3 linked regions of the Arabidopsis thaliana genome follow. The protein of the gene in region 3 purifies or fractionates together with the protein of the main gene of each other region. This does not show direct contact. Each region holds a gene or a part of one and is shown on either strand. Other genes may lie near its edges. The genes, in order: AT4G00600, Hop1 and AT1G24360.

Region 1 (3,754 bases), on a different chromosome or scaffold from region 3:
ATTTCTGAAGTTTTGGTATTTTGTGGAGAAAAGTTTCAGAATCTGTAACATAGGAGTCATGGGACACACCAAAATGACTTCCAACATCAATCGTAATGACTTCATCCTTAAGCTATCTTCCAAGACTTACATTACGTTAAAAGATACATTTGATAAAGCAAAAATGCTTTTGCCAATCACCACAGTTGCTTCATGGTAGTTCTACTCCCAAAATGAACAAAAGCTCACACACAAACTTATAAAGATCCAAATAATTATCTAGCAAAGCCGCAAGATAATCAGGGAACTCACAATCTGGATAAGGTAACCTCTAAAATCAAAGAACAAGAACCGAAATAATATTATTTCTGACTTAACGCTAAGCAAAAATCATTGGCTTCAAAAAACCAAAGTAAGATTTGTTTATTTAAAAAAAGGCGAGCAATCATCTTTGAAGTCACTGGAAGTTGTGAATTCTCTTGGCTGATGTTAAAGTGTTGGATAGAAGCATGGCTATGGTCATTGGTCCTACATCACCAGGAACAGGTGTGATGGCTGATGCAATTTTGCTAGCCTCCACATAGCAAATGTCTCCAACCAACCGCTCTCCACCGGCAGCACTTGGATCCTGCAATTCATATTACTTTCACATACTGTATTTGATTTGATCATTCATTATACTACCATATGTCAAAAAATTCCACTCACCTCAACAGGTTTAATCCCAACATCGATGAGGACTGCACCCGGTTTTATCCAGCTTCCTCTGACCATGTTTGGTTTCCCAACAGCTGAGATTAGGATATCAGCTTGTCTTGTGAGTTCTTCAGGGTTCATGGTTCTTGAATGGATAATGCTAACGGTTGCATCCTCCTTCTACATTTAGAAAATAAACATCGATAAAGAATGTTGTCCTAACCAGAAAAAATGGCATATTGAAGAAGGAATCATCATTACCTGCAGCAACAGAGCAGCTGGCATACCAACAATGTTACTCCTTCCAATAACAACTGCTCTTTTGCCTTTGAATTCAATGTTGTATCTGTGCAACAACTCGATGCATCCTTTTGGAGTACATGGAACGAATAAAGGTTCTCTACCACGCATGGCAAGCCGTCCAATATTTAGCGGGTGAAATCCATCAACGTCCTTCTCTATACTAACCGCATTCAATATGTTCTGTTCATCCATATGCTGCATATACACGACATCCCAAAACACCGTTGTAATTTACTGTTTATTTTAAGTTATGATGAAGAATATGAAGATAGACTTTGTTTACCGATGGTAGAGGCAACTGAACAAGGACTCCGTGAACAGAAGGATCATCATTGAATCCTGATACATATTTCAACACCTCTTCTTCTGATGAATCTTCAGCTAGACGAACTTGGACTGATTTAATTCCGACGGATTCACAAGCTATTTTCTTGTTCCTCACGTAAGTAGCGGATTCCTTGTTCTTTTCCAACAAGGATTACTGCTAAACCAGGAACCACACCGATTGATTCCTTCATTCTTGAAACTTCGATTTTGATATCATCTCTAATCTTTTTGGCCTCAGCCTTTCCATCAATTACAATCGCAGATGGAGAAGAAGAGGAGCGAATGGAGAGAGTGCAGCGCCAAGTAGACGCAGTTGTCCGTAAGCTGAATTGGCTGACGCTCGGGCGGGGGAGGAAAACACCATTGCGGTTGTATAAATGGATGAGACGCGACGTTGTGGAGGAGGAGCAATCAGTAAACATCATCGACGCCATTTGTTTACTAGGCAAACAGAAGAAAACAAAGTAGATTGTTTCTAAGTTAACGTGTGTGTAAAGGTAGATATAGAAGATATGTACTTATCTTAAATCCATTAGGAATTATCTCCTAGAATCATTATTAGTTTATATCATATCATAATTATCTAACGATTTCATGTCTGTAGTAACAAAGGAAGAAGACTAAGATGCAAACAAAAAACCACCTATTTTTGTTATCCAAAAAAACATCTTTAACATAAAACATATGAATAAACGAGAAAGCCATAAAGGTTCCAACACAAAACCAAAAAGAAAAACATAGGCAAATGCATCTCTAAACAGATAAAGACTAAACATATTTAGCCATCAAAGATCTCATCTCATGCACAACGTCAATCTTCTGCCACGTCGTTTTGAGCTCATCAGCTTGCATGGACTTCACCTTTTCTTCTATCCTCTTCCTCTTCTTCACCGGTACCAAACTCCAATTCTTCTTCCATGTCTCTTCATCAACCCCCGGACCCAATTCTTTAAACGCACCATCAACAAACGACCTCTCGAACCAATCACTTTCTTCATCAACCTTAAGCTTCTTCTTCTTTGGCTTCACAAGAGCAGTAGCATCACCATCACTTACCCAAATTATCTCAGCCAATTCGTAACACTTCTTATCATGCTCTGTAGTAGTTTTCTTGTTCTCAATATACTTTCTCTTCATAGACCGGATTTTGTTAACGAACTGATCAGTCTTCACCTCAAAGCTAATCGAATCTTTAAGTTTTTCGAAAAAGCCATTCATGTCCTCGGAAACATTCTTACCTGTATCCTTAGCAAATTTGATCATTCCTTGAAGAAAGACGATCTCGTCTTCATCAGTCCACAATCTCTGAAACAACAGTGGCTTCTTCCCCGTCTCTGTTTCAGTCTTGGCTCGTTCCTCCTCTGGTTTTCCTTCACTTTGTCTCTTCTCATTCGAAGAAGAAGGAGCAGCAGCAGCAAGAGTCATCGGCTCAGCTTCAGTGTCAGACTCACTCTCCGATCCCGACTCTGAATCGCTGGAAGGCTCATCTTCCTCCTCCTCCTCAGATGAAGTTGATGCGACGGCTTCCAACGGCTTCTTGACCGGAGATGTGACACCCGACGGTTTCTTCGCTGGAGATGCGACTCCCGACAGTTTCTTTGACGTAGATGCGACGTCAGATGACTTCTTCACCGTTGATGGAGTAACCAAAGTCTTGTTCTTGGCCATCGGAGAGAAACGAGAGAGAAATTTGGTAGGGTTTTTAAATAAAAAATTGAGAAGTTGGTCAGTTTTAAGGTTTTGCACCGAAACCATATATTGCATTTGGTTCTTTCCTTAATTACAAGTATCATAAATCTTTGACCAATTTTACGGGGTTTATGGTGTACATCTAAAATTCAAAAAGTAAATGTTAATAAATCTAATTTTGGTAACTGAATTTCCGATTGGTATTTTTAGTATATTAAAAAAATTAAAACTAAATGCTAACTAATCGAGTAATCTTTCTTTAATTGTTTAATGAGATCAATGATTCAGTTAATCAGTAATTACTAATCGAGTAATATCTTTTTTATTTAATTACAATTATCATAAATCACATTAATTGTTTTGACTAATTTTACGGGGTTTATGGTGTACATTTAAAATTCAAAAAAACTAAATGCTACTAAATCCGATTTTGGTAACTGAATACCTTCTTTTAATTTTACGGGGTTTATGGTGTATAATACTATAATCCCTCTTTTGTAAAAAAGAAGAAAGAAATTTAAACTCTATAGAGTTTGTTTTTGGAGCAAAGATGCTAGAGTTTAAATTTCTTTATATTCTTCAGAGAACTCTCTGTCCCCAAAAAGGATTACTGCTAAACCAGGACTGATTAGTTTCTCCATTCTTGAAGTTTCGACTCTGATCTCCTGCATGATACTTAGTTCCACAGCCGTTTGATCAAATACCATCGCCTCATCAGCTGAACAGAAAAGTAAAATCTTAAGAGTTGGATATCTGAAAA
Region 2 (3,754 bases), 4.5 Mb from region 3:
TTTTTTAATTCATAGGAACAATTTTTTGGAACATCAATCAGCATATATATGGGTTTTTTTGGGGTCAAATTCAACAGCAAGCATGCATATGGTTTATAAACTTTATATATATGATTTTATTGTCAACCTTTTTTTTTTGGACAAACTGGTTTAATTGTCAACCTATAGATGATATTTCAAGAAAGACTGAATTCTATTTTGAGTTGACTGTATGAGTATGTATGAGTGTAAAAGTCAGCCATTTTGCAGAAACAAATATGCACATCGACGACGACCCTCATGATTTCATAGTTGGCCAGCTCAAGCCGTGTGTCAAATTATTACAAGTTACATTTATTATATTTTCGTTTATATATGCTTTAGAGAATGTAAGATGTAAATGGAAATGGGAGATATGATTGCATTTTGGTTTATATGTCTTCTTCGGAACAATAATACGAAATTATAGTAGTAATCATAAGATAAAGAAATTAATGAACAAAAATTTAAAAAGACTCATATTAAAATAAAGAGGGTAACAAAAGATAATGAAAATAACTCTCTAGATCTAAGCATGATGTGTCTATATACACCGACATTTTTTTCTTTTAATTAAGTGTATTGAAAATAAATTAAATAAGCCATGATTTTGATTTTGCAGTTTCGATTTTGATTTTGATTTTATTTAAAATGCTATATATGAGCCTGGTAACAGGAATGGTCGATGCAGTTTATTTCAATCTCAAGAGCTTACATGTGAAATACACAACTCAATAGCTTTCACTATTTCTTGAACGAAATTGACGAACAAGTAACAAAAAGAAAAATCGAACCGGAGAAGAAATCGTTGGTCTACCAATAACCGGAGTCTCCACGACAGTACAAAACCGACACCGTTTCTTAGTAATTTTATTCTTAAGATACAATATAATTTTATACTCGTATCCAAACAGTCCACACACAACCCCAAAACAAAAGTAAGAAAACTTGTAGACAAAAGTAAACAAAAGTAAACAAAAGTACGATAACAAAACTCTATACTCGTAGACAAACTTCACCGAACGTATTTAGCTAAAGAAAACTTGACCTCAAGATTTTCTTGTCTTCTTTAATCCAGGTGCTTGTAACTATGATTCCATATTACTAAAAACATGCATGTCTCCTTAGCAAAGAAAATCACAAGTAAGAAATGTATCATAATGATGAAAAATGCTATGAGACTGGTAACAAGAAATGGGTGATGAAAACAAATTCAATCTCAAGCAACAGTTCTCACTTAGAAGTGAGATCAGTTCAGGAGCTTTCACTATTTCTTAAATGAACTGAAGAACAAGTGAATACAAAAACAAAATCGAACCGGAGAAATGAAACTCTAAACAATGGAACCGGTGAATAAATCGTGGGTCTGCTGATAACCGGGATTTCCACGACAACACAAAACGACATCGTTTTATAAGATTCTTTATTATTAAACGTAACGAGGATAATTATAAACCCGGACAAATATCCACTAACAAATTCTATCCTCATATCCAAACAGTCCCTCAATTTCTCAAAACCCCAAACAAGTGTTCTTTTCTTATAGAGAGTAGTCTCCCAAGAAGCTGCAGAGACTTGCAAAAATCTCAGATTCAAACAATGGCAGAAGAAGCTAAAGCTAAAGGAAACGCTGCTTTCTCTTCCGGTGACTTCACCACGGCTATAAACCACTTCACCGAAGCCATAGCTCTTGCTCCAACCAATCACGTCCTCTTCTCAAACCGTTCCGCTGCTCACGCGTCGCTTCATCAATACGCCGAAGCTCTCTCCGATGCGAAAGAGACGATTAAACTCAAACCGTATTGGCCTAAAGGTTATAGCCGTCTCGGTGCTGCTCATTTAGGGTTAAACCAGTTTGAGTTAGCCGTCACTGCTTATAAGAAAGGTTTAGATGTCGATCCGACTAACGAGGCGTTGAAATCTGGATTGGCTGATGCGGAGGCGTCTGTTGCTAGGTCACGAGCTGCACCGAATCCGTTTGGTGATGCTTTTCAAGGACCGGAGATGTGGACGAAGCTTACGTCTGATCCTTCGACTAGAGGCTTTTTGCAGCAGCCGGATTTTGTTAACATGATGCAGGAGATTCAGAAGAATCCTAGCAGTCTTAATTTGTATTTGAAGGATCAGAGAGTGATGCAATCTCTTGGAGTTTTATTGAATGTTAAGTTTAGGCCACCGCCGCCTCAGGGAGATGAGGCTGAGGTTCCTGAGTCTGATATGGGTCAGAGTTCTAGTAATGAGCCTGAGGTTGAGAAGAAGAGAGAACCGGAGCCTGAACCGGAACCGGAGGTGACAGAGGAGAAGGAGAAGAAAGAGAGGAAGGAGAAAGCTAAAAAGGAGAAAGAGCTTGGGAATGCTGCGTATAAAAAGAAGGACTTTGAAACTGCTATTCAGCATTATTCTACTGCTATTGAGATTGATGATGAAGACATCTCGTACCTCACAAATCGTGCTGCTGTTTATCTTGAGATGGGAAAGGTATGATTTTCATATGTGTAATGCTCTTTTGTTTTGTCCCTTTATTTGCTGATAGGCTAGAAGCCTAGAATGATGATTTGCTTGTTATGTGCTACAATGGTGATTAGTTTTTAATGTCATTGTGTTTTGATTCAGTACAATGAGTGCATTGAGGATTGTAACAAGGCTGTGGAAAGGGGTAGAGAGCTTAGGTCAGATTACAAGATGGTAGCTAGAGCTTTGACTAGAAAAGGGACTGCTTTGACTAAGATGGCCAAATGCTCGAAAGACTATGAACCTGCCATTGAAGCTTTCCAGAAGGCTCTTACAGAGCACCGTAACCCTGATACGTTGAAGAGACTTAACGATGCGGAAAGAGCAAAGAAAGAGTGGGAACAGAAGCAATATTTCGATCCTAAGCTAGGGGATGAAGAGCGTGAAAAAGGTGATTGCTTTAGCAATTAGTCTCTTTTTTTTTTTTTGTGTGTGTGTGTGTGTGTGTGTGTGGGAAAAGAAAGCTTATAGAACCCTGAAAACAAGAATGAATTAGCGTTTTTACTGCTGCTGTTGTGGTGTATTTAATACAGGTAACGATTTCTTCAAGGAGCAGAAGTATCCTGAGGCCATAAAACATTACACCGAAGCAATCAAAAGGAACCCAAATGACCATAAAGTAAGGGCACTTCATCATATTTATATGTTCTTAAGGTCTTCTACAATGATTTTCTATTCCGACTGTTTGAGCAACTCGTACTTTTTTTGCACCTATGTTAGGCATATAGCAACCGAGCTGCTAGTTACACTAAGCTAGGTGCAATGCCTGAAGGACTAAAGGATGCAGAAAAGTGTATTGAGCTCGATCCAACCTTCTCTAAAGGATACAGCAGAAAAGCTGCAGTCCAATTCTTCCTCAAAGAGTACGACAATGCGATGGAAACATACCAAGCGGGTCTCGAGCATGATCCTAGTAATCAGGAACTTCTTGACGGTGTTAAAAGGTATATACACAGATACACAGAGATTATTAACTTTTCTATCTATTGCCATGAATTTGTTTAATGTGGTTCAAATCTATTCTGCAGATGTGTACAACAAATCAACAAGGCTAATCGCGGAGACCTTACTCCTGAGGAATTGAAAGAGAGACAGGTTAGTTACATTCTGATGATTCTCATGTTTTCTCCCCCCATTTGTGATTGAAAGAAAACCCGGGAAGCTAACTTGGATTTCTCCTTTTCTTTTGTGTAGGCAAAGGGAATGCAAGACCCAGAAATCCAGA
Region 3 (3,754 bases):
ACCTTCTCTGGCAGCAGTCTTGGAAAACGAAATAACTCCACCTTTAGCCGCTGCGTAGTTTGCTTGACCAATATTACCAATGAGACCAACAACTGACGAGATATTGATGATTCTTCCCTGCAATTAAGTATACCATGAATTATGCTTGTCATAATATCACTTCTTAATCTTATAGAAGAGCTCAAAAAAAAAAAAACGTAGTTGTCTTTTTATATATCATTTCTCCCTATGCTTCAGGGAAGGAGTAACATGTCAAAACCAATGACAAACGTGTGAGGATATAGACGGTGACATGGCATATGACAAGTAAAAAGTGTTACCCTTTTTTTCTTCATCATGATCTTTACTGCTGCCTAAAGAGAGTAAACGAGTATCAGTCCCTGAAAATCCGAGTATCAAAATTTTAGCAGTATTGCAGGAATACAAACCTGAGTACAGAGAAATACACCAGTGAGATTCAAAGCAATCACTTCGTCCCATTGTGATTGCTTCATTCGTATTAACAAGGTATCCCGAGTAATTCCTGAAAATATGTAGCCACGTCAGTAAGGTACTAAGTAAAACTTAATGGGAACCAAGGTTTTCATTTACCTGCATTGTTAACCACAACATCAATGGTTCCCCATTTGTCAAGAGCCTGCAGAAAAATAACAAAAGGAAAATGAAAAGATGTATAAGGATTAGGGAATATAAGATGGTGTACAGTTGATCACTCACGGTTTTCATCATCGCATCCACATCAGTCGCTTTCGAGACATCACCCCCAAAAGTGATAGCCTGGCCACCATATTCTTCAATCTACAGTTGCACAGAGAAGAAATGTCAGAGATTACATGAAATAAGTTGACATTGTAAACGAAAACACTATTAACTGCAGATGACATTTGTTAGCCAAAAGATAATATTTCATTTGGCAGTGTGGATCAAGAGCAAAATCACAAAACGCATTTGAGAAGCATAGGGCAATAAGAAACATTTTCCAGGTCCAGAAAATTCATTTGTCTACATTTCTTGTCCCAGAAACCAAAACTGTTTAAAGGTATTATCAACGTTAAACTCGAAAGGTACCACATTTATTTTCGTACCAACAACAACATCCTTCCATACCAAACACCTATGCATTATTTGGTCTAAACCGATATCCCGAAGCAGAAAAAGAAGGAAAGAGCTGAAAACCATTCTAGATACTTGGTGCATGAATCATGTAAATTGCAGTCTAATCCAGGGCAATGAATCACCTGTTTAGCAACTTCTTCAGCCTCTTTTGCTGACCTAGCATAATTCACCAAGACCTGCAACAGAAACAGAGTGTTTGCTTCCAGATCAGAAAATTTATGTGTAGCAATTACGGATATAAACCTATTGATGTCTCCATCACTATAATGACAAAAGAAATTGAAAGCAATCCTGTGTTAAAATCTTCATAACTCAAGACTAGTAATATCATGCAAATTGAATGCTCGAAGAGTACATATACAGATCAAATCTAACAACAAGGCGCTCCAATATTCCGAATAGTGTTAAGCCTAACCTTGCAGCCAGCTTTACCCAAGGCTAGAGCAATTGCTTTACCAATCCCTCTCGAGGCACCAGTGATAACGACCACTGGAGATTCCACTTTTTGAACAACTTCCCCTGGTGATTGCTCAGTAGCAGTAGCTTGAGCTTTCACAACTGTAATACCACAAAAATGTTGAGAATTGAGAGAGATCAAATCTATGCCAAAACCGCAAAGGAAGAGAGAAGAGGAATGAATATACCAGAGGTAGAAAACGGCTGCCGCGATCTACATCGCAGCATTCCGAAATGAGGTATCGCAGAGTGAAGCGGAGCCAATTGTCGGATTTGAGAGATCTCACGGAAACCTAGCTTCGCGACGGCTTTCAAGGAGATGAGTCTCGGTGCTGCGACGGCGGCGGCCATGGCGAATCTGTTGTTAAAGTGAATCCGTACAAGTGAACCTCGTAAAGATCGACCCAGTGGAGAAGAAGAAGAGAGAAAAGTCTTAATTTTGTCTTAGTTTCTGCTCAAACAATAATAATATATAGAATTTCAAAAAAGCGATACAAACGAAGTTATGTCAAGTGTGTAAAAGTCATGTTTATAGTTGGGGCAGGTCGTCGAATAAGAGGAGACTCGATTTCACGAATAGAACTGACCTAGGTATTCGGGTTTTGTATCGGATACGGTTCATATTTGTTCGGATGCGGGTAATTGTATAATATATAGTTTTGTGGAGCAGTGTTTAAAAAAAAAATTGGTCAAAGAAAAAAAAAGAAAGACAAAGAGGATTGAACGGTAGACGTAGACGCCATTGGAGTTTGAAAGGGAATTAGTCGACGTTTTATGGATCATTGTCGTTTCGGTGTCATTTTCTTCTTCTTCTTTCGCTAGCACGATTTAAAGCCTGACTAGATCCATCATCGGCCATGGAGGATTCTACAGCCACGGCTACGTCTTCGTCTTCCACTCATTATTTCTCCATTTTCACGAATTATCCTCTCATTTCCGCCGTCACCTCTTTCACTATCGCTCAATTCATCAAACTCTTCACCTCCTGGTACGTTCTCTCTTTATATCTCTGTTTGGATCAGACTCCGATTAAATCTATATGTGCCTGGTTCCTCAATCTTTGGTTCGAAACGGTACATAGGAAATTATAGTATACGTTAGATGAGAAAGGATCTTTACATGGTTTCCTAGATTCTGTAGGTATAGGGAACGGAGATGGGATCTCAAACAGCTTATTGGGTCTGGAGGAATGCCTTCTTCGCATTCAGCGACCGTTACAGCTCTCGCTGTAGCTATTGGTTTACAAGAAGGCTTTGGTGGATCACATTTTGCCATTGCTTTGATTTTGGCATCTGTTGTAAGTTGGATACTTTCTCTAGTTTAATCAAATTGGCTATTAAGGAATCAAGTGACGATTAATATGTGAGTGGTTTGGGTTGGTAGGTGATGTATGATGCTACCGGTGTTAGATTACATGCTGGTCGTCAAGCTGAGGTTTGTTCATTGCTGCTCTAACCTTTCCTTTGTTTCATCTTCTAACTTGACTGGTTTGATAAAAGAACCACTATTGGTTTTGTCATGATGCATTTGAGCTCTGGTATCCTGATCTCTGGGGTCTGATTCATTTTTCAGGTTCTCAATCAGATTGTATATGAACTTCCTGCAGAACATCCGCTGGCTGAAAGCAGACCTTTGCGGGAACTTCTTGGTCATACCCCTCCCCAGGTATGTAGACATATGACTTGAAAAAGTCTTTTCATATATGACTAGCAAGATATGAGATTCTTTTAGCTGTTACATTTAGCAAGATAGTTACAGAGTTAGGGGAAATCATGAGTACAAATAGAGTGCTGAAGGAATCGGTGAGGGGGATCGTGTAATTGGGAACAGAGTTGAGGGTCTTTTGGAGGCTTGTGTGAGCTGATGGAACTCTAGAACAGACCCTAGTTTGTGTTTACTTTGGTTGATAAATGAACTACTCTTTGATTTGTAACCGTGTTGATATCAATGAATTTCTAGTTCTCATCAGATTCTGTTTTCCATTTGCTGAGAATTCAGGTCGTTGCTGGTGGAATGCTTGGAAGTGCTACAGCAGTCACCGGATACTTATTTTTCAGGATAGCTACAAGCTAACGTCAAGAACATGCATAGACACAACTCTTCTGCTTCATTGCCTATTGAAGCCACTGGAGAGTACCAAAACAGATTTACAACCGAATCCGAGTTAAAAATATATTTATTC

The links.
Region 1: the proteins of AT1G24360 (region 3) and AT4G00600 fractionate together in Arabidopsis thaliana (co-fractionation; one large-scale study listed by BioGRID). This does not show direct contact.
Region 2: the proteins of AT1G24360 (region 3) and Hop1 fractionate together in Arabidopsis thaliana (co-fractionation; one large-scale study listed by BioGRID). This does not show direct contact.

The regions. Positions count from the first base shown.
Region 1 is NC_003075.7:254,884-258,637, forward strand, and holds AT4G00600 (Amino acid dehydrogenase family protein), read right to left. Parts: upstream 1,728-3,754; coding exon 1,469-1,727; intron 1,360-1,468; coding exon 1,262-1,359; intron 1,174-1,261; coding exon 937-1,173; intron 856-936; coding exon 688-855; intron 608-687; coding exon 437-607; downstream 1-436. Other genes in the region: AT4G00610 (DNA-binding storekeeper protein-related transcriptional regulator), read right to left, coding at 2,074-3,060. UniProt on the Arabidopsis thaliana protein: Catalyzes the oxidation of 5,10-methylenetetrahydrofolate to 5,10-methenyltetrahydrofolate and then the hydrolysis of 5,10-methenyltetrahydrofolate to 10-formyltetrahydrofolate.
Region 2 is NC_003070.9:4,170,488-4,174,241, forward strand, and holds the start of Hop1 (stress-inducible protein), read left to right. Parts: upstream 1-1,547; 5' UTR 1,548-1,617; coding exon 1,618-2,496; intron 2,497-2,631; coding exon 2,632-2,920; intron 2,921-3,062; coding exon 3,063-3,148; intron 3,149-3,249; coding exon 3,250-3,473; intron 3,474-3,557; coding exon 3,558-3,624; intron 3,625-3,723; coding exon 3,724-3,754. UniProt on the Arabidopsis thaliana protein: Mediates the association of the molecular chaperones HSP70 and HSP90. Mediates nuclear encoded chloroplast preproteins binding to HSP90 prior to chloroplastic sorting.
Region 3 is NC_003070.9:8,638,989-8,642,742, reverse strand, and holds the start of AT1G24360 (NAD(P)-binding Rossmann-fold superfamily protein), read right to left. Parts: upstream 2,162-3,754; 5' UTR 1,924-2,161; coding exon 1,761-1,923; intron 1,675-1,760; coding exon 1,532-1,674; intron 1,293-1,531; coding exon 1,239-1,292; intron 799-1,238; coding exon 718-798; intron 638-717; coding exon 592-637; intron 524-591; coding exon 429-523; intron 354-428; coding exon 321-353; intron 118-320; coding exon 1-117. Other genes in the region: AT1G24350 (Acid phosphatase/vanadium-dependent haloperoxidase-related protein), read left to right, coding at 2,430-2,560, 2,713-2,869, 2,956-3,006, 3,145-3,237, 3,321-3,374, 3,571-3,645.